Oreochromis niloticus: one gene and its partners. The protein of the gene in region 1 binds, or shares a complex with, the protein of each later gene. Links are inferred from orthologs where the notes say so. Each region holds a gene or a part of one and is shown on either strand. Other genes may lie near its edges.

The links.
Region 2: the proteins of keap1b (region 1) and nfe2l2a are in contact, whole or in part, in a crystal structure (PDB 3WN7), measured with the Mus musculus proteins. The link is inferred for Oreochromis niloticus from reciprocal best matches to the Homo sapiens genes KEAP1 and NFE2L2. Residues at the interface, in NP_001103775.1 of Mus musculus: Tyr334, Ser363, Gly364, Arg380, Asn382, Pro384, Asp385, Gly386, Asn387, Asn414, Arg415, Ser431, Gly433, Cys434, His436, Ile461, Phe478, Gly480, Arg483, Ser508, Gly509, Tyr525, Gln530, Ser555, Ala556, Tyr572, Phe577, Ser602, Gly603; in NP_035032.1 of Mus musculus: Leu19, Ile22, Leu23, Arg25, Gln26, Asp27, Ile28, Asp29, Leu30, Gly31, Val32, Val36, Phe37, Phe39.
Region 3: the proteins of keap1b (region 1) and fbxl17 are in contact, whole or in part, in a crystal structure (PDB 6W66), measured with the Homo sapiens proteins. The link is inferred for Oreochromis niloticus from reciprocal best matches to the Homo sapiens genes KEAP1 and FBXL17. Residues at the interface, in NP_036421.2 of Homo sapiens: His59, Thr60, Ala63, Ile66, Met67, Glu69, Leu70, Gln75, Leu76, Gln82, Lys84, Ala90, His96, Val98, Ala101, Ser102, Ser103, Ser104, Pro105, Val106, Lys108, Ala109, Met110, Thr112, Asn113, Gly114, Val122, Ser124, Glu126, Gln163; in NP_001156787.2 of Homo sapiens: Asp395, Arg397, Arg421, Lys423, Asn447, Gln473, Tyr475, Met524, Arg548, Asn572, Cys574, Leu575, Trp577, Glu596, Tyr598, Val600, Ser601, Asp623, Trp626, Lys628, Tyr647, Met651, Arg652, Val676, Leu677, Asp679, Cys680, Thr683, Leu684, Arg686.
Region 4: the proteins of keap1b (region 1) and ptmab are in contact, whole or in part, in a crystal structure (PDB 2Z32), measured with the Mus musculus proteins. The link is inferred for Oreochromis niloticus from reciprocal best matches to the Homo sapiens genes KEAP1 and PTMA. Residues at the interface, in NP_001103775.1 of Mus musculus: Tyr334, Ser363, Arg380, Asn382, Arg415, Phe478, Arg483, Ser508, Gly509, Tyr525, Gln530, Ser555, Ala556, Tyr572, Gly574, Phe577, Ser602; in NP_032998.1 of Mus musculus: Gln40, Asn41, Glu42, Glu43, Asn44, Gly45, Glu46, Gln47.

The regions. Positions count from the first base shown.
Region 1 is NC_031971.2:24,647,223-24,654,591, forward strand, and holds the start of keap1b (kelch-like ECH-associated protein 1B), read right to left. Parts: upstream 3,147-7,369; 5' UTR 3,002-3,146; intron 1-3,001. Other genes in the region: s1pr5b (sphingosine 1-phosphate receptor 5b), read right to left, coding at 6,884-7,369. UniProt on the Homo sapiens protein: Substrate-specific adapter of a BCR (BTB-CUL3-RBX1) E3 ubiquitin ligase complex that regulates the response to oxidative stress by targeting NFE2L2/NRF2 for ubiquitination.
Region 2 is NC_031987.2:17,010,727-17,018,434, reverse strand, and holds the start of nfe2l2a (nuclear factor erythroid 2-related factor 2a), read left to right. Parts: upstream 1-4,504; 5' UTR 4,505-4,671; coding exon 4,672-4,707; intron 4,708-7,688; coding exon 7,689-7,708.
Region 3 is NC_031977.2:23,971,708-23,979,214, forward strand, and holds the start of fbxl17 (F-box/LRR-repeat protein 17), read right to left. Parts: upstream 3,102-7,507; 5' UTR 2,883-3,101; intron 1,130-2,882; 5' UTR 1,110-1,129; coding exon 633-1,109; intron 221-632; coding exon 1-220. Other genes in the region: prxl2c (thioredoxin-like protein AAED1), read left to right, coding at 4,705-4,887, 5,202-5,270, 5,437-5,490, 6,571-6,676, 6,766-6,900, 7,066-7,196. UniProt on the Homo sapiens protein: Substrate-recognition component of the SCF(FBXL17) E3 ubiquitin ligase complex, a key component of a quality control pathway required to ensure functional dimerization of BTB domain-containing proteins (dimerization quality control, DQC).
Region 4 is NC_031982.2:35,431,600-35,439,946, reverse strand, and holds the start of ptmab (prothymosin alpha-B), read left to right. Parts: upstream 1-5,324; 5' UTR 5,325-5,443; coding exon 5,444-5,488; intron 5,489-7,599; coding exon 7,600-7,665; intron 7,666-7,743; coding exon 7,744-7,828; intron 7,829-7,915; coding exon 7,916-8,001; intron 8,002-8,102; coding exon 8,103-8,147; 3' UTR 8,148-8,347.

The DNA of each region.
Region 1 (7,369 bases):
TCTCTCTATCAGTTGCTACTACTGATGCACGGATGCAGTTTTTGTTTTGTTTTTTTACCCCAGTTCTGATACAACACAATTACCTCAACTCAACATACAATAAGGTATGCGTTGGTACTGGGTACCAATCCAGGAATGGTGTTTATTTAATACGCTGTATTTGAGCAACGAGAAATAGCCGGGAAATCATTCATTTATCAGGCTTGACTTAAACATTGCTTTACTAATTCTGTGTGCAATCCAAGACAATTTAAAAAACAAAGGAAGTACTACATGGCTGTAAGGGCTTATCTAACAGGTGCTCTTCAGTAGGGCAGATGCAAACTCAGTATCAAAGAAGGATCACTGAAGCAGTCCAGCTTCCCTGATGAAGACAGAGTCGATTTACAGTCCCATCTTTCACAGTCATGATAGTTTCTCCTTATCTGGCATGTCTTCACACACAGGTAGTGTGCACAGCTGATAAAAGACAGGGTGAAGTGAATATTGATTGAGTTAGCGTTAAAACTCCAAACACGCAAAGAAAAACTGTTGGTGAGGAACTCAAGTGCCTGCAATCCTACTTATTACTTTCACTACTTTTAAAAGTAAAAAATGTCCACCTAGAGAGCCTAACAATATAAGCAAAACAGCAAGTAACTAAGTGTGTAAGCAGCAGCAAGGGAGTGCTGCTCATTTTGAAGGACAACGCTGTGACTTAAATTAGGCTTTAATTTAACAGGCCAGCATGACTAAGTGTGCTCTTGCTATGCCCTGTTGCCAATCCACTGGGGGCTTGAACAGAGGGAACAGTTTGTTCAACCAACAGCAGAATCCAAGTACATCCATTGCAGCATCTTCCAGACATGTTTAAACCAAATTAGGCTAAGAAACAAAACAATCTTTTAATCAGAGTCAAGAGGTACTTTTATCGGAGTAATCCAGGAGGAGGAGAGGGCTCTGGCTCTGCAGACTGGCTTACAAACAAATACTTCTACAGGGAATATGTGGGATCAGAGCCACTACGTTGAACCCATTAAGTTGAAAATTTAATGCCTTCCTTTTCATTCGAATCCCACTTCTTCTTTTCAGAATATGAACTGCCTGCAACAGTGACGTACAATACAAGAAACATGTGGTTAATGTCCGTTTGGAGCGCTCTGATCAGGAAGGGTCTGAATTACTCAGCAACAATGCTGCTGTGAGGGTTCAGTTATATAACAAAGCACCTGTAAGTTGTGTATACACACCCACACGCACACTGATCGTTATGTGAAGCATTGATAAAAGGACGCAAAGCAAAAGGCCAGTTTATATGGCCTTGTAGCTTTCCAATCTGCAAGTAGGTTACAGTGTTCTTTGCAATCATTAAAGATTAAGGGGAAAAAAAAAACAAAAAACAAACTAAGTTTGAGTGTTATTCATTTTACCAACAGATGGGGACACGTCAGTGGCCATGATGGAACTCGTCATGAGGAAGTCAGCCAGTTAAGCTCGCTGTAACATGAAACACTCTGCGATTCACATTTACTGCTGTGCCTCCCCCCTTCCAGGATTCTGGGTGAAATAGTTTCACAGGAGAACATATTGCTCAACTCGCCCACTTTCCACAGCAGACAGAAACGACTCACTGACAAACAAGCTCTCCAAGTCCCACGCTCTACCTGCTGCATTTCTCTGACATTTCATCAATAATAAAAACATGTTTTTAGGTATGATGAATGCGACAGGTATAACTGGGTCCAAGCCACTCTAAAGATAGTATCTGTTGTTGAATCAATCAATGGATGAATCAGCTGACAAACACTGCATGTATTGTGATAGCATTTATTAAGACATTTTATAACCTACGCATGTGGGAGATCCTGAAATTTTACATGCCATAAGTCAACGACTCCTAGCAAACATCTGCAGGGTTTTCCTCCTCTAGCATGAGAAAACTTGTTCATTACAGGTTGTAGAAGTGAAATTAAACTGTCACTCAACGGTGACACTAAACAAGGAAGTTTCAAGGAGTTGGCAGCAGTAAATCCTTACAAAAGGACGAGCTCAAAAAGGAAACTGAAAATATGCAGTATGCATCTTTAAAAGATGAACGTGAACGATAAACCAGCGATTTATGCTGATGCTGCTAAAAAAAAATCTTCCACTGCGACCCTAATCTTGACAAGAAAGTTGGCTCATCAATAGCCACAGTCATAAAGATGCACACTCACCCCTGACAGAGACCCTGCACGTCGGTTTGCGTGCCACCCTTCAGGCCTACCTACAGGTCTTGGGTGTCTTACAACAACTGGAGGGACTCTACAAGTTTAACAGTTTGATCTGAGCTACACCTACAGCTGTGTCAGCGATTTTTATTTTGTTTTGTACTACAGAGCCAGCAAACGCCATCGAGACAGGAGTGAAACAAACACAAGTACAGAGTCCAGCGCGTTTCTCGGGCATTTTGGCAACCAGCTTTCCTCGGTGACTCATCGTGAACTCTTCACCGAGCAAACAGTGGAACTGGATGTACCAAAACATGACCCAGAAGTGAAGCCAGTCCCTTACATAAACCATGATGGACTTGGATTTCCGCGCCATTTACCTGACATGAAGAGCACACAAAAAGCCATCGTGTGTCCTCTACGAGGACCATTTCTGAGCTTGCGTTTGTCAAAAAAATAAATAAATAATCCACAGACCTGGCATGCAAAGGTAGAACAGAGCAAGCAAAATCGGCTGCTAAAGGTTTCTGGTGGGTTTGCAAAGACGGTGAACTCAGAAGGTCTCACGATGAAAGAGCCGTAATCCCCCTCAAAACAACAAGTCAAACGTTTCGGAAACAGAGCTGACAGCAAAATAGGCTCCTAATAATAGACAGCAGAGTAACGGCTGTGAGCCGACCTCGCAACAAACGTGCTAACAAAGCGGTATCAAAATATATTCTTGCTAACACACCCGCACAAAATCTAAACATGTCCAAACAACTGACATTAATCACTAATGGCTCCTTAAATTTGGAATAACAGAGAATTACCGTAGTCTAGAACAATTCCTCCATCGCGGTCTGCCGAGCTGCGAACCACACAGAAAGGAGGAGAAAGCTGTAACTCAGCGTGACTAAGCATTGTACCGGCCTCATCTCGCCTTCACAATAAGAGCTCGCCACTAAAGCGTTGGCCCGCCTCTGTTTATTACTAATGGCAGACAAACGTGTCCCGTGGGAGGGGGCTTTTATTGAGAAGGAATTCTTAAAACGAAGGAAAAGCTGGGCCAATTTTTGGCAGGGAGCCAAAAACTGCAGCTTTAACGTCAATCAAAATTTGACACAAATACCATATAAAGGATAAAACTGCAAAACAGGTACTTCTTCTAGCAACTTAAAATGGGATCTAATTATGAGAAAATAACTGCAATAATGCAGTAACACTGCTTTAAAACTGTGTGAGTAATTGTTGAAACGCCAGCAGGAAATTACTAAACTGGCATTGTTTAACGATCACTATGTTGCTCAGACATAATGGTGTGTGCTCTAGAGACATGGTTATAATGTTACTGCAGTTCTGCCTTAAAACATGAATGACTCCTACATAGCACAGGAGCTTGGGAGGAATCTGTTTGCAGTGCTGACACACCACTAAGGGGGTTTTCCCCCTCCTTCTTCCAAAACACGTAATTCAGGTCACAGAATTTGATGTTCTGCTTAAAAGCCAAAAGGTGGCACCAAAAGCTAACTGTGAGACTGCAAGCGTAAACACTCACTTTTGAGTTTAATCCCGTGGAATGAGCTGCCATAATATAACCAAGACATTTAAGCCCTGTTGCTCTGCAACCACAGTTCACAGCCCATTACACCAAGCACCCCATGATAAGATTCCATCTATACACCTTAAAGTTGAAAGGACTGGCAAATCCTAGATATGAAATGACAAGTCATGATGCATACACCACTTAGAGTTCCCCCAAGACTCTGCTGTGTGTCTGTGTAAAGATCCAATCAGAGGAAAAGGCTGAAGTAAGCCTTGAGGCACCAAACTGCTCTTCTAGATGGATGCTTCCTATACACTGATCGTACAAAGGTAGGTTAAGACTGCACCCACATTTGTACTACCAGTTCCTCAGCTCTGTCATTTCCCAAATTCTGCTAGAGCAAGGAAAAGTACAGTTTTTTTATTTGTGGCTGTGGCATCAAGGGACTATCAATGGTCATAACTTGTAACAGTTGAGTTCATTATAGCAGAACAGAAGCCAGAGTACAGGAAAGATTCTCTGACTTGTCGACCTCTGCCAGGAGGCACAGTTCTCATGGATAAAGCAAACATCTGGAGGACCACCTGCACTGTACAAATCATATAAGAGGTATTCTAGCACCATGAGGCAGGGCTTATGTCTCTAGGCCACAGAAAGTAAAAATCACAGGAAAATATCTGCTATCTATCACACTAAGCATGCTTTGCGTTGTTGACATTTTTTTAACAGTGGCCTGACAAAAAAAACATGTGAAAAATAAGTGAAGAACTTAACAGCTTCTTTTAGCTTCATGCAAATCAACCAACAGTCTTTACCAGAATTGAATGTTAGCATTAAAAATCATGTCTTCATAACTGTAACTTTGGCAGTATTATAAGACAAATTTAGACATAAATGCAGGCACTGAATACAGTTTTCTTTCTATAGGAGCTAAATTAGCTGGATTCATAACAGCTGTGTAATTTTTCTTTATTTTAACTATAGTTGATGTGGAGGGCCAGTTCACAGGAAAAACAAATCAAACAAAACAAAACCTTGGTGTTCAGTGTTTATTAAAAGTTACATTGGGTACACTATTACACTTGGTGTGCTGGGCATTATTGACAGTTTATTTCTAACAGTGGTGTGACATTTAAAAAAAACCCTGAAAACCACTTACCAACTTCTTCTATTTATAAGTCACTGGTCATGACTTCTAACTTTTAACAGTTGAGTCTGCTGCAGCAAAAAGCAAGGTGGAGCACAGGACAGCTCTGCCAAATGCCGGGAAGAGGGGGTTATGGTTGACTACAGAATGCCTTTAGGGCAAAGACAGTTAAAATCACACGGAAAAATCTGCTGTCTGTCACACTAGACGTGCTTTGCATTATTGACATTTTTTTAACGGTGGCCTGACAAAACAAAAATCAACAAGAACTGAAAAGCAGCTTCTTTTTGTTTTCTGCAAATCAACCAATATATTGTAGCTTAACTGGATACATAACAGCTGTGTAATTTCTCTAAATTTTAACTATGACTGGCATTGTGGAGGCCGGATCAGTGTGAGGTGATAGTAACTTGTAACCACTGGTTAAGAAGTATTTACTAAAAGAGGCATTGTGTGGAGGTTAAGCCACTCAGAAACAGGCAAAAGTTGATGTATATAGGTCAATGCCATTACCAGATGTGAGATGAGGGAGGCTGACTTCCTGTGATACTTCTTTGCTTAACCACAGCTACACTAACACAATAATACACACTGATGCACTTAAGAATGCTGCAGGGCACTAACAGTGAAAATAAATTGAAACCCCATTGGAATGTTTTAGAGAAACACTTTATTTCTTTTATGAAAAGAAACACAAATTTTGCTAACGTTTTCTTGTTACAAAATATATATAATTTACAATAGAGATATAAAAAATATGCTCACAAATACATCAAGTTCACTACATACATTTTAGTACAAAAAAAACCACAACCTCATTTAATCAATTAAAGTCTTGAATGACGTAAGAAAAAAAATCATTCAGTACCTTTAACTGAAATGTTCTGTTAACTTGATGAACAATGAAAGGAAGCACTGAAACAATTGCTTGGTAAATTTATACCAGTTCAGCATGATCTGTAACTTACAAAGGCAGAAATATTTTTATCCATAAAACTTGTGATGCAGCTGAATGAACTTCTTTTTAAGGTCGTCTTCTTCACAAGCTGGAATGTAAAGCCTTGACGTGATGCAACTGCAGCTGATTTGGTTTCAGTTGGAGTTAAGCTGTCAGCCAGTGGAAAGTAAACATTACTTGTAACATTATCTTTCAGTTAATCCGATGCTAAGTATGATGACATTTTGTAAATGCAGCAGTTTTTACTGTAGATGTCAGGTTGACATTTCAAAAAAACTGGACACGACCCCAACAACTTTCCACGTCTACCGCAGATAGGTTAACCACCTGTCATTTCAAAACTGTTAGGGGGTTTTAATGCTGCACCTCCTCTCCCACATAATTTATTTGCATACAGCATTCAGCAATTTCAAGAAGGGTGCCACCTTTTTCCTGTTAACTTAATTCCTTTGCATCACGTACACAGATACGTGTAGGGTAACCAAACATCTACCCATGCAAATCTAGCACACAATCAGTCTTCGAACCAGCGAAATCCAGGTGTCTGCAGATTACACGCTGTAACTGTTAGGAGTTTTTATTCTGACTTTAAGGCACTTAAGAAACTGCAAGATGAGAAACGTTAGCCTCCATATTATTCCAGCAAGTACATAGTTTTCAGTCTTTCACTCTTTGAGTTTACAGAAGCGTCCTTCTAAGCTTCACACAAAATACAGAAGCCCAGAAAAAATTGAGTCCAAGGTTGCATATGTCAGTGCAAATTAATAAAGAAGACGTATTGCTAGCATCATATACATAAAAAACATTGCTTGTTCACATTTGAATTGCATCCTTTGCTCTCTGGTTTGGTATGCTTCATCAAAATGAAATTTGGTGATTCAGTTATATTGCCATAACTGCGCCACACTGTCAAAGATGAGTCATCGTCTTTTATACGCCCCCTTTTTATGGCTCTTTGAAAAAAACAAACAAAACAGAACTGTCTCTCAATAGTGGATGCGCTACATATCCTCTATTCAGCGGGAAACCCATTTACACATTTTGGACACAGTCAGTCAAAGTCTTTATGACTTGAAAAGTTTGGGGTATAGGGCTTTAACTGGAGATGGAGTGGTGATGACGTTTCCAGATGAAATAGTTGTCTCCAGACCCGGTTCTAACTTCTGGGAGGGCACCTCAGTTTTACTGAAACTGCACTCCAGGAACGGCATCCCAATCTTCTTCACCTGCCCATCTGAGGTCATTAGACATGGCCGACAGAGGAGCCTCAGAATGGCTCTCCTCATGTCCTTACTGGTCAGTGTGTAGATGATGGGGTTGAGGAGCGAGTTGATAATGGCTACTCCCAGGAAGTACTCAGCCTTGTAGAGCACGGGGCATCCGCGGGTGGGGCAGGAAAAATCTATCAGGAGGAGAATGAAAAGGGGCAGCCAACAGGCGATGAAGACTCCCAATACAATGGTGACTGTCTTGAGGAGAGCAATGTACTTCTCTGACTTCCTAGCTAAGCCCTTCCTTATGCTGCCTGACAAGCCGAGCCGCTGGCGCTG
Region 2 (7,708 bases), on another chromosome or scaffold:
TAAATGTAATGTTAGGATTTTAAAGCATACAATATAAAATAAATGTTGTTATTTTGGGTACATTAAATTGTTATCAGACACTGGGCTAGTTTATACCTGAAAACGGTAAGTCGATTAAGAAAAGCATAGGTCAGAGCATTATTTAAGGTTATTTTGAAGATATTTAAACTTGGACAGGTTCTAGCTTCTCAATTTAAGCATTTTGCGTTTTTAAAGATGTTTTAGACGTTTAGACGTTTATCTTTTGGAACATAGATTAACATAGATTAAGGATTTTCCGCATTTTAGGACCCAAGAAAAGAAAACTGTTCACGGTTGTAGGTGATCGGGATTGTACTTGTGCCTACAATCTCCATAAGTTTCATACTATAAATAAGTGAATGACAATATTTTATGTATTTATTTTATTAATCAACCTTTAAACGAACCGTTGACATCAATGCAATGCTCCCATTTCATTCTGAAAGGAGTTAACGAGAAGCGTTTGAATGCACCATTTAACGCGTTTCCCAGCATGCATTGCAACATTAGCATAGACTGTAAAGGGCTGGTTGCATATGTTCCACTTACTGCTGAGACATCTTTTATATGGCTTAGCCCAGTATACAGTCTGTGCCTAAGATAGTAAATGCAATTAGTAAATTATATAAAACAACGGTAACCCTTCTGTTTGGAATATTAAAGAGTTTATCGGATTTATAAAGAATCACTTATACCCTACATTAAACACCATTTTGACACAAATGCATGAAAGTGAACAGTGGAAACATACAATTCAGCAAGTCTGTAAGTTAAGTATCAGAATTTTTTAATTGTCTCATTTTTAGCCAGATATATGTAGGACGAATCCAAATTTAAAAATGTAAACTAATCCTAGAACATCTGTAATGATTTACCTTTACTACAGCTGCATCGTCACCTGGTCAAAATTGCTCATGTGTGCACTTTTTTTTGATGTGGTTGTAAAAACAGAGTAACTTGAAACAGTCAACACTGTTTACCTTTCTGCTTCACCTCCACTCAGTCACCTGACCAGCGTGACTACCACTTCCATATGGTCCACATGGCTGCTTTTAAAGTAATGATTTGACACAAAACGACAGCAAATACACCACAAGCAACATTATTGTGAAGTACAATTCAATCAGGATTAAAGTACTGAAGGAAAGAGACTGTAAAAAATGGATTAAAATAGAAACTTTATTTTAGACAACATTTGCCAACAGAAACAATGAGACATTCTGTAAACTAAAATGTCCAGATGTTTGAGGTTTTATTTCCAAATGGTTAAAGTATTAACTTCCAAAACAAAGTTCTGTAATGCACTGACTGCGGGCAGTTAGAGTCTAAGTGTATCACAGAACTTTATTTGGAAAGCCACAGTGCCACCTCATAGGTTTGTCCTTGTGTGGAACCTTATCCTCCTCATGACTGGGTGCTCCTTCAACCTGCAGCAAGGCACAAAAGCAAGGGAAAACAAGACAGCCATGTTGTATTATCTTTTTTTTAATTTTCACTATACTGACTCCACTAAAAAAATATAACAGAAAACAGCTCAAAAAGGCAGAGCTAAGATCTAAATGTGTTAAGGACGGGCCTGAAGAAAGGCGAGCTGTTTGGTGGTTCCTCCCTAGAGTCACACAGGTATATAGCAGGCCAGGTGGTGTCTTTTTACACGCTGCTAGCAATACAGAAATGATTAAAGACCTAAATAATATTTGGGTGTGTGCAAAAGTTGATCCTGCAGTACACCCTCCTCAAAAATGGTTCTTGAGTGTATTTACTTACCTCTTTAGTCTTGCCCATCTGGTTGCTTGCAAAGGTTACATTTTAAGTCTACGCTGGCTGGCATATTTTAAGTTTTACAGTCTTGCTGCTACCTTTTTGAAAGGATTACTTCACTTCAAGTACCACAGGGCATAAATGACTACCTGTTGAGCTTTAACAACTTTCTGAATTAAACAGGCCCTTGAGAATAACCCATTTACAAAAGAGTGATATGATAGCAATGAGGAAAGTTCAGAAGGCCAGCTGAGCTCCAGGAGTATTGAGTTCTAACAGTTTGAATGTAGTTGGAAACTTGGCACTTCATCAGCAACCAAATGACAGCAACTTCAGAAGTGCAGAAATAACGTTCAAAATCAACACTGCAACGTGTCAACCGGAATCTTAACGATTATTTCTTTAAGAAGTACGATTTTAAAGGCAAAGTGAGCTTTGCAAGTCATACTGTACCTGATATAGGTAGACACAAGGGACCAGCTGCAATCCAACACGAGGGGAAAACAGTCTAGATCATAAAACGCAAAAGATGAAAGCGAACTGAGGACTTTGCACGCCACGGATAGATTCACATTGCAAACGCCTGTTTTCACTGCAGTTGATGTCCATCGGCGGACTTGCAGCGCTCTAATCGTAAGGTGGCCGCCGCCGCTTTTACCTTTTCTTCCCCCAGTGCTGTGCAGTTCACTATATGCAGCTGGAAGAATGTCGACGTGGAGCTGCCAAACGTGAACGCGTATTCAGGAGCGCGCACGAGAGGCAAAAATAGGCTTTTTTAGTGTAATTTCACGCAGTGGCACAGCGAGCTGCACTTTAGTGCGAGACGCCTCACAGATGGGTGCTACAACCGGGAACAAGCCTGTCTTATTACACGGGCATATCTGAAAAGCCACTTAATGGCACCTCGGTTTCGAATTCTTACTAACGCCGAGGTTTCAGAATGATTCAAATGTGATTAAGAATGAGGGTTTTTCTTTGGGTTATCCTCCTCTTAATTTTCTTAAATGGGCGAATCTCAGATCGACTGCTACAACGTTTATTACATACCTGTGCTCTCCACCAGTGTGGAGAGAAGATTTATATCCTTTAGCCTACTTAGGAAGTGGAAAAGTAATAATAAATCATAACCCACATTCCAATTTTTGGAAAGGTCCGAGGAATTACCAACAACATTTAGCTGAATGAAAAGTAGTGCTTATGGAGAATGTCCTCTTTCATACTCTTAACTTGTTAATGGATATAATTTGCTGTTAAAATAGTATTTTAATGTTCTAGTTTGTCAAGGTGGATCAATGTTTCATGTTGTTATTAATGTTAATAATCTACAGCACATGTGGTGAAAGAAATTATTAGACTGTACCTTAATAAAACGCTGCTATAAAACACAGCAATATGACCCAGAGTGATCCAATATCCTTATGGTTTAGGATATTATACTATTACTACTATTGATTAACTAGTGGCTATCTATCTATCTATCTATCTATCTATCTATCTATCTATCTATCTATCTATCTATCTATCTATCTATCGTAGAAGTACTAAATAGCATAAAATGCTTAAAAACTACTGCAATATATACTATAATATGGTAATTGCCCAGTAAATCGAGTAAAAACCTGCATATTTCCTTACAAAATGTACTGAAATGTGCAGTATTTCGGTAAGCTTAGCAACTTTTGGCTAAATAATAACAATATTAATATAACCTAAGCAACTTTTCTACACTCTACACTCTACAGTAACTTCATATATGTACCAGTTCTGAAGAATAGCCTTTACTGCATTATAATGGTTAAAATTTTAATATTTTTTTCTCCACTACATAAAACAAACATATATATCGATAATGGAAAGGAGTTACAGATCTGCAAATCTTTGAGATTCCTTACTTAGACGTTTTAGATCATTACGTCAGTTTTGTTTAATTTTATGAGAAATAGTGTAACAGGGAATAATTTAGCTTGTAGCACATTTAGTTAACCCACTGTAATGATTCATTACTTGACAGATGAAGATTTTCCAATTAGAACACCCAGTGAATTATGGCAGAGTCTGACTCCCACACCCTCAACCTCCTCCCAAAAGATGTTAGTAATAGTTCCACCCATTTGAACTAGTATCTCTTATGCGCCTACCTCCCTTCCAAAAACAAACAGACAAATAAACAAACAAACAAAACCTAACAGAGGTCATTCTGCACTGGGGCTTTTAACACATATTGGTATTTTGCCGCGAACAGGTCTGAGCTTCAAAGTAAAACTTTAAATGCAGGACTGTAACTTTAAACTGGGTGTTCTGTTTCTCTCTTTATGATTCTGTGATGGTCTACCCAGCTGCACAAGGAACATCAGGGCCCCAGGGTCTCCAGCTCCACGCCGGTCACGGTCACCAGCAGGGGGAGGTATGCACCAAACAAAGTCTGGTCATGTCCGTGACGGAGTTAAAATAGAAGGTACACATTATATATATTTCTTTTATGAGCTGGCTTATATAACGCTGACTATAAACGAAGGTATTACATGTTGCAATTTACGTATTGGTTAAAGTATCATAAAACCTTTAACTTTCACATAAATATATTGTGTAATTTTTTTTGCGTGGCAACTATTGTGTTAAATGGACTCCATGCGCATGCACACACAGTCCTTATCGCCAGCCCTCATAGGCCACCGCGAGGGGGACGATCCCGGTGGGGAGGGCCATCATTTCCGTAATGCTCATTAGGTTTGGAGGAAGCAGCACTTCTCGCCGCTCAGCTCCCGTGACGGACTATATCGCCTCCAGACCGCTCGCCATTTTTATATCCAATTTTAAGGAATAACACACAAATTTTTCAGTCATAAGGAGTTTTTTTTTTTTTTCAAAACCTCACGACAGAGCTCCATAATGATGGAAATGGAGGTGATGCATTCCGGTCAACAGGTAAATAGAGTATTTCTCAAAAGTGATCGCTAGAAAAGAGTAGACAAACTATCTGACATTGACTGTCAACTTCCTTTTTTAATGCGGGCTATTAGAGAGATAGACTTTATTTAAACTTTTATTTATCAGTTATCATAAATTACAGCTAAATTACAGTACTAGTGTATTTACGCCGGTGTTACAGACGTTATAGCGTTAAAAGTGTGAGGTAGACTACGCCGACAGGCTGTCTTAGAGTTAGACATGTTAACTCTCTTTCAGTTCTGCAAGTCATCCACTAGTGACGCTTTTCCTGGACAGGAAAAAAGTCCCCATTAACAGAACAGGTTCAGATATTAGTGTTGTGATCAATTGCCCAAATAAAATAACAGGTTCTTTTTATCTTGGCAAGTTAGACAAACAGAACCTGGACTCTGTTGAAGCTTTTGCCGTAACTGTGTCATCATCTCCCCCTGTCCACCCCGCCCTCCTCCTCAAAGCATGTGATCCCATATCTGATAGCTTTTATAACCACCATGAATGATTTCTTTTACTGCTGCCTATGTCTTTGCTGCGTGTTTTACAGAGTTAATAAAAAAGGACCAACTATTAGACTAGACCTGTTTTCCTAGCTGTTTTATACAGTGAATGAAAACACTGAACTTGGTTGAACTTTATTTTTTCCTGTGACATGCCCTCGGATCTTCAGTGTTTCGCTAAGCTTGTCATAGGTAAGGGTCAGTGGAAGTACAGAGTTGACTGATGAGGGCCCAAATGGCTGTGCAGCTGTGTTTCATCATCCACAGTTGAGATTGGATGTCCACTGAATGGTGTTGAGGAAAGGCATGATACAACAGCAGGTTCTGGTCCCTCTTTCGGGCCCTGGGGTTTAACCGTAAATAAGTAAATGAACAACCAACACTAAAGGATTGTTGTTAGGTTTAATATGTATCTCTGGTAACTGTCGTTCTGAAGGCTCTGTGTGTGAAAGCTTCTTTGACTGGTATACACTTGTTGTCTGGCATCAAGGTGCAGGAAGTAGTTTTCTCAGCCTTTTTTTCCTCTCTTGTTCTGGTGCCAGTCCATGTCTTCTGACAGGTGATAGTGACACCATTACTTAAGCACGCCCACACTCACAGAGCCCAGTTGTCATTAATACAGAATGTGCTGTTTATAAAGCTGCATTATAACAACAGGCTAATTTAACAACCACACTGAAATCACTGACTGACAACAGGCTGTTTTTTGGCCTTGCGGTGGTTGTTTTTTCTAAAGGACTGGTGTGACTTGTCTGATGAGCTTATTAGGTGTGACCAACAGACAAGAGTGTTTTTTTCTTTTTTCTTTCTTTTCTTCTTTTTTTGTTTGTTAGAAAACATCAGCAACCTCAAGAAGTGAGTTTAGACATCCCACACAGACATTTTAAGGGACTTCCTCATTCCTGTACAAACCATAATGTCTAGTTGTGTGCTCACCTTCCAACCAGCGAGCAGCCTTAGTAATGTGTAATCCTTTAGTGGTCATACCTCTGATGCAACACAGAGGCAAAGAGGGTTAGTGGGTTCTTTTTTTTTTCTTCAGCACCACAGCTGTAGTCAGGAAAATGGTGTCAACAATGGCTTAAAGTATTTATAGATGCCCATATGCCATTATTATTAGTTTGCAGAGGCTTGTGACTCATCCTGTTTTTATTAAAAAAAAAACAAAAAAACAAGTGAAGAAAACATTATCTGACAGGGTTTTTCTAAACAGTTCCACATCCTCCTTATTGTACATTGTTCTGCTTTGTTCTTTATTCTCCCTCAGTTCCCTCTTGGTTTTCTCTAGGCTCTCTCTCTCTTTTTTTTTTGTATTATAAACCCAAGCTCATAAGTAATGTTTACACCCAAATCTGAGGAACAAACAAGTCACATGCTCAGAGTTTTTTTTTGTGTAAACCAGTATCGCGGGTTTATGTAACATCCTTGGGCCTTGTGAAACACTTTCCTTCTGTAAATAAATTCTGCTAAAAGCCCAGAGAAGGGGCCAGCATAATTTATCTTCAGACATTCTTGTTTAAAAAGGCAAATAACAATCAGCAGCTTAGGGGAAATCTACAGGAAATGGTACTAAAATGTCATCACATGCTCTGCCTAATGTGTAAATATATGTAGGACAAGACTATTGTTGTGCTCAGATAATTTAGTAGTACTTGTAATAGTTCACTTAAATACCTAGTGAGGGTGAAATTGAGGAAATAAGCATTTTAATTTCACTCAGTATGACATCTATGACCTCATAATATGATTAGGTACAAAGGTAGGTTGTAACCGCAGACCTTTCTGAAACCTTACGCTGTAGCCTTTGCCGTAACCGGAGCGCCTTCAAAGAAATGTAGCTATAGGTTGCCATCAATACAGCCGTTGCCATATACACCCAGGTATAAATGCAACACCATTATAGATTTACCGCATAATCATAAGTGACGAATTACAGTGCCAGTTTTACTGTTCTTTGTTTATATGTTTATATGTTCTTCACCAACCATAATACTGTATACTTAAACCACCTAAACACATACATTTAATGGCCACATTTTCTAAATGGTGTAATATGTGTGAACTTACTTGAATCTGAACTTCAAGTACTAGCTAAAAAACGATCCCTGACTGTGTGCGAGTCTGAATACGACAAACAAATTCACACTTCTGCGTAACTGGATAAGCTGTGACTACTTCCCTTCACTGGAAAAAGTATCAAATGAGGATATGTGTCTTTTGCTGGTGTGTGGTGACAACAGAGGAAGGAGAGAAATGCGTCCATTATTCATGCAGTTTCTGTCCCTTGACATTAGTGCCTGTGTTGTTGTCGGTGATCAGATACTGAGGGACAGGGTGTGGCAGGTGCAACAGTCACGCTTCGCAGCAGGGACGTTCTGTTTTGCTCCGATGCTCAGAACACTCCTATGCAGGACAGCATGGCTGCTTGCAACTCTGTTAACCGATCTGCGGCTGTCTTTTTAGGACATGGACCTGATTGACAT
Region 3 (7,507 bases), on another chromosome or scaffold:
ACCCACAGCAGCCATCAGCAGGTGAGGAAGAAGAGGAAGCAGAGGAGGAAGAGGAGGAGGGAAGCGGGCAAAGGGGAAGGTGGCAGTGGCCCGTTTCAGAGTTCGAGGCCGCCTCCCCCCCACCTCCATTCTCCAGCCCTCCATCAGGAGCAGCGAAGGCACAGCGCGGCTGCTTACAAGGGGTGCACCTTTGCACCTCTGAGCACTTCCTCTTACACACCTGCAATCGGACACACACACACACACACACACACACACAGAGGTCACTTGGTATCAGATTTTCAGGCAGATTTAGTTACAATTACAGACAGAAATTTATGAGAACAACACCCCTGAGTTTGGATCCTCAATAAGAACAAAATAAAAGAAGGACTAGAAAGAATACAGCTTTGACTTAAGAGATATTTAAGGACAAAGAAAAGTCAAAGTTTACCTTTCTAACTGCATAATATCATTTTTTAAGCAAGTTTAAAGCACCTATAAACATTTCTCATGTGTAATCTGTAGCTTATAGCCCTGTTACTAAAAACGTTGAGGCACTGTTAAATGTAAATAAATATCCAATACAGTTATTTGAAACTTATTAAAAGCCTATATTAATTAGGAATTAATGCTCCGAACCGGATGCCTACCATCTCTGTGTAATCGCTGGTGCAGCCAGGCACAGGCACAGGTATGGGCACAGTCACAGACACACCAGCGGTACGGAAGAGGGCCGGTGGTGGAATTAGTTTGGCAGGAACAGCTGACAAAAGGCTCCTCCCCTGGCCCTCCCAGATAGCAAGTTCCCTCGGTGACAACAAGAACTTGGAGCAATCCTCCGGAGATGCGAGAGTTGCGTATCGCTCCGCAAGCTTCGTGGCAGCTGCCGCTCCGATGCCGACTCCGCCAACACCTGGGACGCTGATTCCCGTGATGCTGTTGTGTCGACACCCGTTGGCCTCGAAGTGGTCGCTCTCGTCGTCGAAACCACCGCTGTTGCCGTGGACGATAAAGCAGAGCATGCAGGGCCCGTGCAGAAAACAGTTCCTCTTCTTCTTCTTCCTGTGATGCAACTTGCGTGTCCTCTTCTTCAGGCGATAACCATTTTTCGAAAAAAGATGGCCCATATAGATGATTCAAGGAAACTCTGGAACAACAGAAAAAAATGATTGGAAATATATATATTATATGTTTCAGCACTAACAGGAGGCCGAGCTGAAGGTGACAGAGTGGAAGATGCTCAGATTTTCATTGGCAGTGACCAGGATGAACAAGATTACAAATCAGCATATCAGAAGGTCAGCTCAAGGCAAGCAGTTTGGAGGCAAAGTTAGAGAAGCAAGGCTGAGATGGTTTGGACATGTGCAGCACAGGGTTAGTGGATATAATGGACAAAAGATGTTAAATATGGAGCTGCCAGGCAGGAGGAAAAGAGAAAGACCTCAGAGGAGGTTGATGGGTGTCGTGAACAAGGCTGTTGTGAGAGCGAAGGATGCTAGTTTATTATGATATGAAAATTCTATGAAAGTTGAGTGTTAAGACTTGGCGTCAAAAAATACACAATGCAGAAAAAAACTATTCAATGAAAAAAGAACTTGATAGTTTCCATCCTCAGTACTACGAATTTATTGTAGTCATTACATAAAAATAGCTTAGGCTAATTATTTAGCCCCTGTATAATTAAGAGAACAAAAGATATCCTTTCTTTTCCTTAAAATGACTATTCAAAACATTGCTGTACATATAATACTTTTAATACAATTTTATGAGTAAAGATGTATCTCATCAATTTACAGAAAATGTCTTTTTGCTAACAATGTTTTGCCCCGCATAAATAAAATAATATGGGAAAATTGCAGGATCACTAACAGCTATCATTATCATTATCTCCTTTTTTAATGAGGCTTTTTTCGTGCTTTATTAAGCCTGTCATTTTATTAGCTTCTTTAATGTTCCTCTTTTCCCTAAAGGCAAAGTCAACATGAACCTTTAGTAGGAAAATCTAATGCCCATCCTTCAAAGCTGCAATGTTTTCAAGGCTGTTTTTCATAGCTGCAGTGAAAGAATGCTTAACAAAAGATGGGAACTTTACAAGATAACGCTAGAGTTGTCTGACACACACACGGGGTGGAGAGTGAGATTAACTTAATCTGGAAGTAAGGATGCATTTGTGATCATGGTGGGCTCGTGTAAATAACAGCACGTGAGCACAGATTTCCACACAAAAAGAAAAGAAAAATCTGAGCCTGATCCTGTATGTCAACAACAATCAGGACAGTCCTTTCTGCTGACACAGACATGACGATGGACAAGACTCACAGCAACCACATGTGTCATTAAACTCAGCACCGGAGAGCCCAACAACACAGTACTGCAATGAAATACTGATGTTATTTGTTAAAAACACTCACAATTTAAGAGTAAAGCCTAAATCTCAGCGCAGCACACAACAAAGAGCAGCAAGCTTTGCACCCGTGCTTCCCTACGATGGAAAAGATTCAGACGTGGACGCTGTGCATAATTTGAAAAATGTTTTGGGGGTTTGGGGTTGTTTCTGTTTTGTTTGGTTTTTAATGATCCATATTTGTTGAGGACGTGAAAAATCTCGTCGGATAACTGCAGCGGTGCAGCACCGGTTGGTGGCTGCTGAATCAAAACACAGAGATGTAAACAGTGAACAGGTGGTCATTTGTTTAGCATGTAGAAACGCCAAAGCAGACTTAACGTGACACCTGCGGTTTGCCTGGAATTGCCGCACATTTGTCTTCAACATTCACACGAACTTAACGTTGTTTTTGAGGGAAAGAAAGACGAGATTGCTTCGCAGTTTTCTGTCAGGCTAGCCTGCTCCATCCCCAGATGCTAAGTTAGCTATAGCCCCAAAAGCAATCATCTCTCACCACTTCACACGGTGCTCCCACACTCCGCACTGCGCTCGCATAATACTGCTAAGCTCCACGGTCAAGATGAACGGTGACGAGCCCCGACAGGAGAGACGCGGGCGCAGGAAAACCGGCCACTAAATCGCCGTTCTGCTCTTCCAAAACAGTAGCAGCTCTGGTTGTACCTCTGCTGCTGCTGCTGTTGCTCTTGAGGACAGCACTTCCGCACCGAGAGGGCAGCGGGAAGGAAGCCGACGAGGGCGATTCGTAATTCGCCATCAATGAAAATCCTGTTCCCAGGATTTGGGGGATAGAGAAGAACCAATCATGGGATTGATTTTTTGTTGTTGTTGTTGTTGTTTAATGATAAGTAAATACAGCCTTGAAAACTGACTTAGAAAACACAGGGTCAAAATATTAAGCTATTGTCTCCTAATGGGAATCATTTTGTATCGTGTTTAGATTATTTATTTAAACAAAAGTAGCAAACTTTTAATTTATTAACCATAGGAAAACTGGACAACCGCCCCAAAATAAGCTACTGACAGTGGTTGCTACAGAAAACACTACCTACCTTATAAATTTCTAGTCTTAACACCTTTACTCTTGCAGTTAATTTATTTACTGGTCTTCCTCTTCCCTGACAGCTACACATTTAGCACCTTTTGTCCACTACCGCTCCTCTTCAAATGTCCAAACCACCTCAGCCTTGCCTGTCTAAATCATCAAGCACTGGATATGAGCAGTCCCTCTGGTGCACTAATTTCTAATCCTGTCCATTCTGGTCACTCCCAAAAAATAATCAGATTTTATTCGTGAACATAATAGTTGATATTGTAAATGAAGTAGCTCCACCTGTAGGTTTGGTTGTACTGAAGCTGCCAAGTGTCTACACACGCTGCATATTATGCGAATTCAAAGAATGCATCCAACATAAAACAAGCATAAAATATAGACATACTGCCAAAATAAATCAAAGTTAATCAGAAGTTCATTTCATTTATTTAAATATTCATGTAACTCATTGTTTATATTCCAAACGTTTCATGCATTAAACACATCAAGTAGACCACCAAGCACTATTAGACTAAAGTATGAAATGTAAAACTTAAAAGTCACAAATAGGATAAAATCTACAGTTGTATGTAACTTAACTGGGTTTTCTGCAGCAACTACAGTATACTGCAGCCAACTTGGTCTTGCGCGGAGCTCAGAAAAAAAAAAACACTTTGGGGAGAGAGAATCAGGGCATAAAATTATAATTTATAAACATAACACAGAATGAGAGACTGTTAACGACAATATACATAGCACATGTAATTGTCTACAGTACCGAACTGTACAGTACGTCTACTGCATAAAATTAATATATATATAGAGAGAGAGAGAGAGAGAGATAATAATCTGGATGTACAGTTCAAACTGTCCTTCATTGTAAATTCCCATGGCAATGTTGTTCACTGAAATATGAGCTGAAATATATATAAATAAATGTTGCTAACTGTTATTGTGAAGTCACAGCGTGCGCACTGACGCACTGACGCACCGGTCAGTTTCTGTTTGTATTGCCTTGTTTATACACTAAATCCGGAGAGTAAGATAATATTAACCATTGGTTAAACATTGCAATGTTTAACCAATGGTTAACCAATGGTTAAACATTGCAATGTTTAACCAATGAATATGTGTTGGCCGTCTGTCTTCGTTCTCCTAGAGAGAGAGCGAGAGAGAGAGAGAGGGAGCATATGGGCGTGAATTTTCCAGGCACCAGCTCCTCCAGGCTGAATGGCAACTCCCAAAATAGCAGCACTGCGAATTCTGGATCCTCTGAGGAAAAAAAATGGCTGAAGTAGTTTCACCAATAACTCGACAAGTAACTAAAGGAAGCCAGGAAAATGTGACCTGTTTTGTGGATATTAATCTCAGAGACGTCGAAGACTGTTTAATTTACGACCGGCATGGAGTTTCTATTCCGTTCAAGACCCTATACCAAGACAGGAAATCGGTCATAATTTTTGTGCGGGTAGGGAAAACTTCATTTGGCTTAACTTTGCTGATGAGTTATGGGTTCGCATAAGCACCCTCCCTTAAGTTGCGCTTTTAAATGGGTCTTGATAGGCTTCAAAGTAGGTACCAGGTGAGCCCAGGTGTAGCTGGCCAGATGCTCCAAGAATTTCCTGTGCTATGTTGGAAATGGACGAATGAAGAGATCGTTCTCCATAGGTGAAGCCAGAGGGATACATGTTATATAGGCGCAAGATGTGAATTTTTAAATGCAGTGATCTCTCTCTCATCACTACAGCCTTTTAACATTTTATTTAATATGTGTCCCTGCAGAATTTCTTGTGCTACAGCTGTAAAGAGTATGTTGATGATTTGGGAAAAATACCCAGAGAAGTACTGGAGGTAAGTCTTGTTTAGTAAGGACCAGTGCACTCGAGGCTGTGAAAACAAAGAGCATAGCTGCGACACTGGCAGCAAAGGTGCTCGGTTAAAACAATAGGAGGTCTGATGAGTATTAACATAAATAATTGATCATGACAAATCCAAAATTCCGTGTGTGTTGTTGCAGGATGCTGAAATTAGACTGGTCGTGATCGGTCAGTCTGCTTATCATCACATAGAGGTAATTATTTTGTTATATATACACTCACTGGACACTTTGTTAGGACACCTGTTCAGCTGCTTGTTAAAGCAAATACCTGATCAGCCAACCACATGGCAGCAACTCAGTGCATTTATGCATGCAGACATGGTCAAAACAACTCGCTGAAGTTTTGAAGAAAGGTGATTTAATTGAGTCTGGTTTTGACATGTGGGCGCTCTATTGGAATTTTGCCACAGTGCTATCTCTAAGGTTTACAGAGAATGGTTGAAAAAAAAGGGGAAAATATCCAGTGAGCACCAGTTGTCTGTGTGAAAAGTAAGAGGAGAATGTCCAGACTGCTTCGAGCTGATAAGAAGGCACGAGTAACTGAAATAACCACTTGTTAGAACCAAAATATGCAAAAGACCACACCTAGAGCCACTCCTGTCAGCTAAGTACAGGAAACTGAGGCTGCAGTTTGCACAGGCTCACCAAAATTGGACAATAGAGGTCTGGAAAAATGCATTCTGGTCTCATGAGTCTCCAGTTCTGCTTCAACATTCAGATGATAGGATCTGAAGTAAAAAAAGAATGAAAGCGTGGATTGATTCTGAACTGTTCAGGCTGCTGGTGGTATAATGGTGGAGGGCATATTTTCTTGGTACACCTTGGGCCACTTGGAACCAATTGAGTGTGATTTAAACTCCACAACCTTCCCGAGTATTGATCCCGACCACGTCCATCCCTTTCTGACTACAGTATTTGCATCTTCTGATGGCTATTTCCAGCAGGATAACACATCAAATCATCAATAATCAAAACTAGTTCAAGGAAGAGAAAGAATTCACTATTCACTATATAAGAATTTCCACTACTACAATCCAGTAGAACGTCTTTGGCATAATGGATGTGCAGCCATCAAAGCTGCACCAACTGTGTGATGCTATCAGTTCAATATGAACCAAAATCTCTGTTGAATGTATGCCACAAAGAATTAAGGTCTAACTCAGTACTTGCGAGTGGTACCTATTACAGTGTCTGATGAGTGTATATAAATATCACAGCAGGCACTATAGTTTTCCAGACAAATGTACTCTTTCTCCTTGTTCTGTCATGTAGTCGTTCTGCTTGCTCACGGGGTATCCTTATGAAATATATGTGGACCCAGGGAGGCGCATTTACCAAAAGCTGGGGATGAAGAGAGAGGAGACATTCACAGACTCTGGTATGCAAAAACACTATTGGAGTGTATGAGTAAGCTTATTTTGAGATGATAATGAAACTTCGTCTTTGTATCTGTGTTTGTGAACTCAGCGCAGCCTAGTCCCCATGTGAAGTCTGGCATTTTTATGGGCCAAATCAAGACTATATGGAGAGCCATGACTAGTCCTGCATTTGATTTTCAGGGTGACCTACATCAACAAGGTGGAGCCATCATTGCAGGACCTGGTAAGTTGGTCTCGCTCTCTCTCTCTCTCCCTATACACACACACACACACACACACACACACACACACATATATATGTATATATATATATATGATGTTATGTGTTAATGTTGGCACTGCATTATATCTTTTTTCCTCACACTCACTGTTTTCTCCCTCTCTACAGGCTCTAAAGTTCATTTTTCCCATCTTGACATGAACCGCCTGGACCACATGCCCATTAACTGGCTCCTTCAGCTTGCAGGAGCTCAGCAAACGATTGACTTCAGCCATAAGCCGAAAATCATTCACATCTAGTTAGGTGCCTGCCTGAAAGTGTGTTTCATCCCACGTCACTGCTGTAATCACACATGGAGTCTATATACAATCAGCTCCAAACTCTAAGATGACTAAATGAGTTTCTGTTGCTTCTTTTTTTCATTTGAATTCAACTTGATTGACAAATAGTACATTACAATGACTTTATCAGCTTAACACACCCCTCTCTGCTCTTCCCTCAACTGTCTTGGCTTTAATAACATCACTCAAACTGAAAGTGCACGCGGCAAGTTTGTGCAGAAACCGATAAGGCATGTTTTCCTGGTACGATCTGAAAGTGTTCCAAACAT
Region 4 (8,347 bases), on another chromosome or scaffold:
AGCAATATGACAAAAATAATAGCTATTAATCAAAATGTTAGATTTGATTAAATCTGAGTTGAAATAATCCTGTTTACACCTCAGACCTCATACAGCAGATATATACAGAGGTTTATTCTCCAAGTCAGCTGACACTTGCCTGTTCAGCTCTCACACTACAAACACTTACTGGTTATGTTAGCTGATGATTCTACATGAAGTTAAATAAACAGTGAAAATCCACATCATAGAGTGTGTCTGAAGAAGGTAACTGTAGCTTGTAGAGTAACGTCATCTGAAGCATCAGAGAGACTAGGGGTGTGTCCAAATTCATGGGCTGCATCCTCCTGACCGATTAGGTCACAGCGATGAGCCGAACGCTGTCCAAATTTGAAGACTCCTCCGATGCGTCCTATCCCCGAATTTGAAGGATGGGTCGGGTGTATCCTTCGTGGCCCACCATATCCCAGCATTCATAGCGCGGCCCAGCCAATTCCAGTTTCCAACAATAGCGGAAGCTACTGAGTTTTAATATTACTCTTATTAATCTTTCTGGGTCACAAAATAAGCTTTTAAGATATTTTCAGGCGAGAATGTAGCTGTGCAAACTTCAAATATCTGCTCGGTTTATCAAGATGAAGACCGAGACAGCTGGTGACGCAAAACTGAAGGCTAGACCGTCCAATTTCACAGATGTTCACTTCCGGCCTACCCGGCCCTCGGAGGACCCAGCCCACGCAGACCGTGGAGGCCAGGTCCTCAGGAGGATGCAGCCTATGAATTTGGACACCCCTTAAATGTAGTTCCATTAACCAAAGCAGCTAAATATGCTACATTTAGCTTTAAGTCTTAACACAGAGTTATATAAAAAATAAACTCCATACAGTTGTTTTAAAAGTTTACATTTTCTATAGAGACCAAAACAGTTTTTGTACCAGGCTGTAAACATGTTTATTCCAGCTGCACATTTGGATATTTTAACTATGGGGACGGACTCACTGCTGGAGCCTCGAGTGGCCGTTAAAGGAACTCCAGGTTCTGGGACTCGATAACTTCATGGAAACAAGATTATTTTATGTTAGTAATATGAAAATATCCCCAATATAAAAGAAATGTTCACATAAATTCTATATAACATTTAAATAAGTCGACATATTCCCAGTTGGTATGACCCGCAGTTTAATACTGTAGCAATAACTGGATTGTTTTCTTTTTAGAGCTCAATAAAGATAGAATAGAATAGAATAGAATAGAATAGAATAGAATAGAATAGAATAGAATAGAATAGAATAGAATAGCCTTTATTGTCATTGTACAGGGTACAACGAAATTGGAGTGCCACTCCCTTGGTGCAAAAATACAATAATAAATATAAATGTAAAATATAAAAGGTACAATAAAACAAACACTAGTAAGTACGATATATACAGGATAGCAGCATTAATAATAATGACAGTATGGATAGCAGCATAATAAATGACGGTGACAGTATCGTGTAGCTAAGCAGTTTCAATTGTTTTTGTGCTTATTTACTACGGCGACAGCTCTGGGAAAGAAGCTATCCCTGAATCTGTTTGTCCTGGTTTTATGTGAATGAAGATGATCTGCACACTAAAGTTCCTGTCTCTGCTTTTAAATTTAAAGTCACGTCTCAAATGTTTTTAAATGTATAACTGGACATTTTTCATATGATAATTGTTACAGCCTGAAGCGGTTTCCCACCACACACACTGGGAGTGTATCAGAAGACGCAGCTGTCCGTGAACAGAGTTATTGTCTGCGTCCGCAGCTGATTTGCATCAGTGACCAGTTTATGTGACTGCACTCGCTGCTGCAGGGTGACGATAATCATGTAGCAGCGGCTGCTTCAGTGAATAAAGTGAGACTGCATGTGCTTCGTGTAGTTTTTATTTCTGAAATCTAAAATGTACATTAAACTCCAGTGTTAGCATGGAGCTATTCTGGCATCTACTGATTAAATAAATCCCTGAACCTTACCAACTGTGAGCTCTGAGCGGCGGCATGCTCAGCTGTGTAATGGCAAAGGAGGACCAGCTGACACCCAGCATGGTCCGACCAACCTGAGAACCAAAGTGTGTTATTTATCACTGAATAAAACTAAACTAACAGCAGTCTTTCTTTTGCTTCTCCAGAACAGATCCTCAGCATTAAGTACCTGTCTCAGCTGATACTGATGTTCTGTGGTTCAAATTCCTCGACAAATCTGCGGTTAATCAAATTATCTACAACCAATTGACACGCCGCAAACTCAGAGCTTTGGAGGCCAGAGGAAGCTGACTGCTCTGCACAGCCGTTAATCCAACCTTGGCTCATAGATTTGTTTTGGTACTCGGAGATGGACCGACAGTCAGGTTCTGGTGCACCAAATCAGTACTGAACCCGACTGGCCAACTCTGTTACTCTTTTCTGCTTATAATTAATTAATTGTCTTACTTTGTTTATTTTAAGAAACCATTTAGGCCTTCTTTGGGTTTCCAATGTGTCAAACACACCAGAAACACAGATGTTTAGATGACATCATCAGTCTTGTCTGCAGTTTGGTTATGGTGAGCCGTGATGCAGGCAGTAATGCACATCTACAAGCCACATGCATTTTTGTGATTTGTTAACTCTACATTTACATTTCTTTTTGGGAAACTGCGTCTGGTTTTATGATTTTAATAGTCATTTTTTCATTGGGGTGTAGTTCATGTTTTAAGAAAAAGAGGACCTCTTTAAAAGAAGTTCAAACCTGATGGAAATACACCATCTCTGCTAGTTTCTGTTCTAACATAGCCGATGGTCACATGATGAATAAATGATGGACGTAGCCATTGTGATGTCACCTGTTAGTTTGTAAAGGCTGAAGCTGAGCCCATTGACCATCATCATCTTATCTTACTGAAAGAAGATGTCATGTTAGAGGGATACAGGATGCTTATAGGCTAGCGACTTGTCGATCACACCCAGCTTTACTGTGCTTCTGGGAACTGATGGAATTTGATTAGACTTAAAACACACGAGTGAGACCACAAACTGTTGATGATAGCGTTTACTGAGGTCACACAGCGCTCTCGATTCGACACATAGGATGATTTTTTTCACTTGTTTTAGACTGTAATAGTTCCTGTGAAAGATTTGTGTCTTCAGAATCATCAGGAACTTTTCTTGGGAGCTTCTTTACTTTGCTGTTGTGTTTTACATCTGGCGTTACCATGGAAACCAGATTTAACGCAGCCTAAGCCCGAAAATACAGAGATTTACCTGCAAGGTTAAAATTCGGACATAGCTTCTTAAGTTCTGAAAAGTACCTTTTTCTTACACAATGGCCAGCAGGGGGCGACTCCTCTGGCTGGTTTAGTTGTATAGGAGCCTATGAGACATTGACCTTTGGCTCCCCCAATCCATGACCTCATTAAAGACTTTCCTGATGGGTCTATAGTCGCAATCAATACCATATAATGTTCCTTTTTAAATAACAATCTCTGCTAGAGTCAAAAATGACAATGACTCAGGGTACGATTGTGCATGTGACTTACAACTCCTGGCAGTATCGAGTTTCTCGTCCGGTTTCAACACCAAGACGCTTCTGGACGATTCAGTAAGGGATGGCTCATCACATTAGCTACATCCATCATCTTTATTCAGTATATGACTGTAATGCACAGTATAAAAGTTGGGCACAGCAGCTTTAATACACAAATTCAAAATCACCACATAAACAGGTGGACACGCTGCGGGTGCGTGTCAGTAAATTCATTTTTTCCACACACTCAAAACGTGGTTAGATGGATGCAGCAGGGAGACAGAGTTTGGTTCTGTTGAAGGATCACCGCCTCCATCTGCTCTCTCTGATACCTGTTTAAATATTTTATAATACAGCCTAATGAAATATGAAGAGCCCGGCTTTTCCAAACAATTAAGCATAATGAGTGTGTCTCTCAGAGATCGTGGCGCTAAAACTAAAAGGCAACAACTGGGAAATCAAACATGTCAAAGACAGAACTGAAACTCTACACTGATGGAAGCACAGTCCGGATCCAGCATCCGGGCCCGCTCTTTACCGTCAGCCGACTGAGCCTAGTTTTGAATTGACGGACGTTGGCGATAACCAATCAGCGCCTGCCGTGCGCCAAAGCTGTGTTTATTCCACTTAACCGACCAATCAGAGCCGTCCTCTGCGGGCAAGTGCGTCATCAAAGTAGAATGTGAATGTGGGCTGCCTGTTATCGGAGCACACTCTGCTCCCATCCCCCATCTCCACTGAGCAATAGCGGCTGCCTTTTTGCGTGCCGCTTTGTCCTTCTCAGTTCAGCTTGTAAAAGCCATGTGTACAAAAGTCGGTAAGGAAAATACGTGTTTGCCCTTGTGTTTCATAAGAATGCGCGTCAGTTCATGAGCACATTATAATTATTTTCCGCACTTGTCTCATCGCATGTCTTTTATGTCGCACTGCTTTTTTCCCTCCTCCACGGCGGGGCATTTCTCTGTGGGTTCTAACAATGGAGGCGGAGGAAATGAGGCCACCAGCACTGTTCACTGCACCCGCTCACTGAGCCCGAACAGCCCGACTCACGGCGTCAGAGCCGGCTGTGTGTGTGTTGTTCGACGGGTACAGTGTTTATTTGTGTCTCGACCTTGGCGCACGAATTTATGGGCTGTTATGTAAAAAAAAAAAAAAAGCCCTCAAGAGTGTCAAGTGCGCACATACAGGGATGAGTTTCAAACATGGACGTCGGGAAGGGGCGGGGCGACGAAGAGCTGCGATGTGACATGGCGGCGCCGCTCCACATTTACACTGTTAGCGCCTTTTATCTGACTGATGTTGTTCACATGGAGCCTGAGATGTGACACTAACGTTTGCGTAGAAAAGCCCGATTTAATCCGTGATAACATCCGTGTCGTCCACGTTTCCCTCCCAAACACTTCGCCTCTATTCCCCCGTCGCGGCGGTGGGCGGGAGAAACCGTCTGAAGTCGCCGCTTGACTCGTCCAGACGCACATCAATCAATCAAACTGACACTACGTCAACCGAAGCGCTCTCGATTCGACATATTTACTGCGTAACTCGATGGAAACTCGATTTTCTCGCGCTCACGGTGCTGTGGAGCTGCCACGGTTCCGGCTCCGGTCCGTTTTGTGGGCTTTTATCGACTCGGATTATTGTTTTAGGGGAGAAAGGGACGGTTGCAGCGGTAGAATAGGAGGGGGCGTGGCCTTTAGGTTAAGAAATTCTATCCATTGTTACTCGACGCGCTAGGAGAACGCCTCTGTCGAGCCCCTGGCCAATCAGAGACCACCGACCTCATGAAGACCCCGCCCACAAGCCTATATTAAAGGCTCGGCCGTCAGAAGCGTTGGCCACTGGCACAATATAATACTGATTGATCCGCTAACTGAGACGAGGGGATTTACTTTATTCAACCTTTCATTTCAGCCGTCCTTTATTTTATTCTACTAAACAATGGCAGACACACAGGTCGACTCCGGCTCGGATATCTCTGCCAAGGTAAGCTGCCGCACACCTCCATTCGCGGGGCCGTGTCTCCGCGGAGCCCCTTACAAGAATAAAGCTCTCCAGGCTCTAACCTACATTTAAAACCTCTCCGTCGTTGCTTCGCGCTCGCTCGGACTTTGTGGAGTCTGAGGAGGAGGAGGAGGAGAAGAAAAGCCGGTGTTCGCCTCTTTGCCCCTGAACTCGGTGTGTAGAGGGAAGTGGGGGGTCTCGGCACCGCATCACGGACACGGGCAGCGTTAAAGCGCCGCGGCTCATTGTCCGGAGAGTCCTGGTCTGCGCGGGTCTTTGTTTCTGCGAGCAGCTCTGTTCTCCTGCCGGCACGCACACCTCCAAGCGAGACCCGGACACCGAGCAGCTCCGGTCCCCCGGCTCGCTCCCCGCGGGGTTTTCGGACTCGTTGTGAGCGCCGGGGCGCCGCGCATATTTATCCCGCATCTCGGGCTCTTAACGCGGATTAGATCGAGGGGAGGTTCCGCTCCCGGTGCAGGGACTCGGTCGGGTCGCATTACCGGGAGCGGTGACACACTCAGCGGCCGGTGGATGCGTGGACGCGGACCTCCAGCCTGGGGTTTGCTCCGTTTGAATGGAGGACAGCGCGTCAGGCGGTGCGCAGTCCTCCGGTGAACTTTCGGTTCTGCACTTTTCCTCCCGCCTTTTTTATTTCTTATTTCCGTGAGCCCGTTTGTTAAAGCCACCGGCCTGCCTGCACCGTCCGACCCCGTTTGTTTACCGACTCCGGAAGGTCGGCGGCCGCCGCTGCTCCAGCCTGAGCTGCTCCGGTCTCCGCTCCCGGAGCGCGTGAGCGGCTATGAGCCCGGGGCTTCCGCTTTGCTTTGGTGTTTTCGGGGTTTGTTTGCAGGGCGCGCTTCGGTCTCACGGGAAACTTTTCTTTCTTTTTTTTGTAATGCAGACACTTCTTTCTCCCTGTGTGTGTGTGTGTGTGTGTGTGTGTGTGCTCGCGTGCGCGCGCGTGGCCGGGCTGTGGAGGTGTGATGTGACGCTGCTGGTTTTCCCCTCTTTCTGCGGGTTTTCCTCCGTTTACACGTTTGAGCTGCTTTTGTTGTGAAAACGCGAGTTTTTGTGCGCGTGGACTTTGGATCAGATCGGGTAAAAGTTTAATCGCCCCCGCGGGGGGAGTCGTGGCTCCGCGGACCGCGATCATCCCGAGAATAATTCTCAATAATTCTGAGCGATTATAAGAAATGTCCATTTGGAGGAGGTGGTAAAGGTGGAGGGGGTGGAGAGGGGAAAAGTTGGACAGGCATTAGCGCGGGTAATCCGGGGAGCCTGTTCACTATTTTTAGTTGTGGAGCGTTTTTACGCACAAGCGCGTTTTTACGCGCAGCGCGCGGGCAGCCTGCTCTCCTCCTGCCGCTTAACAGCTTAATGGATTTCAACCAATAAGATTATGGAGAGCAATTAATCAATAACAGCCTACGTGTGGATGCGTGAGGCGCGCGTGCGGCGGGGATAATGGGCTGTGGGGGAACAAAACGAGGAAGAGGAGCGGCGTTAGTGCGCGCTGAGCTCGAGCACGGAGGCGGAAGGTGCCGTGTCTTCGCTTCGCTCGCTTGCCATGTGTCGTCTTCTATTGTCCTTTCCTGCCTCCGTTACAACGAGCAGCAGCAGCAGCGTGCATCGCGCTCTCTCCGCCGCCTCCTCCTCCTCCATCATCGACCCCTCCTCCTGCTCCCTCCCTGCTCCTGCGCCCTCCTGTGTTATTTTAAACGGGGTGCATCCTGGGTATTGCAGTGCTTCTCCCGGGCGTGTCTCGTGACATATGGCAGCGACAGCGGCCCATAGAAGACTACAATACCCAGAATGCCCCGCGGGCCACATCAAAGTATCAGATTACAACACATTAGAGGGGATGGAGTGGGAGGAGAGGAAGGAGATGGGGGGAGGATCTGCAGAGGCCAATATGGTGTTTAAATAGGAAGGCTGAAAAACGTGCAGCTCCCAGCAAGCACTGGGACGCTGCTAAGTAGGCCAGTAGGTAGAGGGGCAGGTAGCAGCGGTGGGCGGAGTCTAAACCCAGCAGCGCGTTTCGGTGGGCAGATGAGCAGGTTCAGTTTCTGATGTTTGCTTTTATTTGTTTTCAGGACCTGAAAGAGAAGAAGCTGGTGGAGGAGAAGGAGAACGGCAAAGACGCCGCCACCAACGGAAAGGTGAGTGCCATCACCGCCGCCACAGCAGCAACTCTGTGCACAGAGGTGGACATTTTTAACCATTTTTGTGTTTTCCAGGAGAATGAGGAGAACGGTGAGCCCGAGGTAGATGACGAGGAGGACGAGGAGGTGGACGAGGAAGAAGAGGAAGATGATGGAGAAGGTAGCTTGAAGGCTTATTTGCCTTTTAAAAAATAATAAACTCCTGTTAGAGTCTAAAAATTTTCACCTTTCAACTTTTGTCCTGTAGGTGATGAGGAAGATGAGGAGGAGGATGAAGACGAGATTGAGGGTGGCACAAAACGGGCAGCTGAGGATGACGAGGACGACGATGAGGTGAGGCAGCAGCGCCTAAGACGCCCTTAAAACGAGCGGTGCCATGACACCCAGCAGGCGCCGGTCTAACCCGCCACCGTCTTCTTCTTGTCTTCTTTCAGGACGACGTCGAAACCAAGAAGCAGAAAACCGACGATGACGATTGATGCGTTTCCCCCGCGCCATCCTGCTGAACCACTTCCTGATTCTTCACCTCTGACCGTTTTTCTATGTCGCAGGTGGAGGGGCTGGAGGACTGATTTAAAGGAAAAAATAATAATAATAAAAAAATCCAACATGGTCATTAGCAAGTAGAGTTCAACAAACACCCGCCACGTCCACACTCACCCGAGCTCCCCTCAACGCT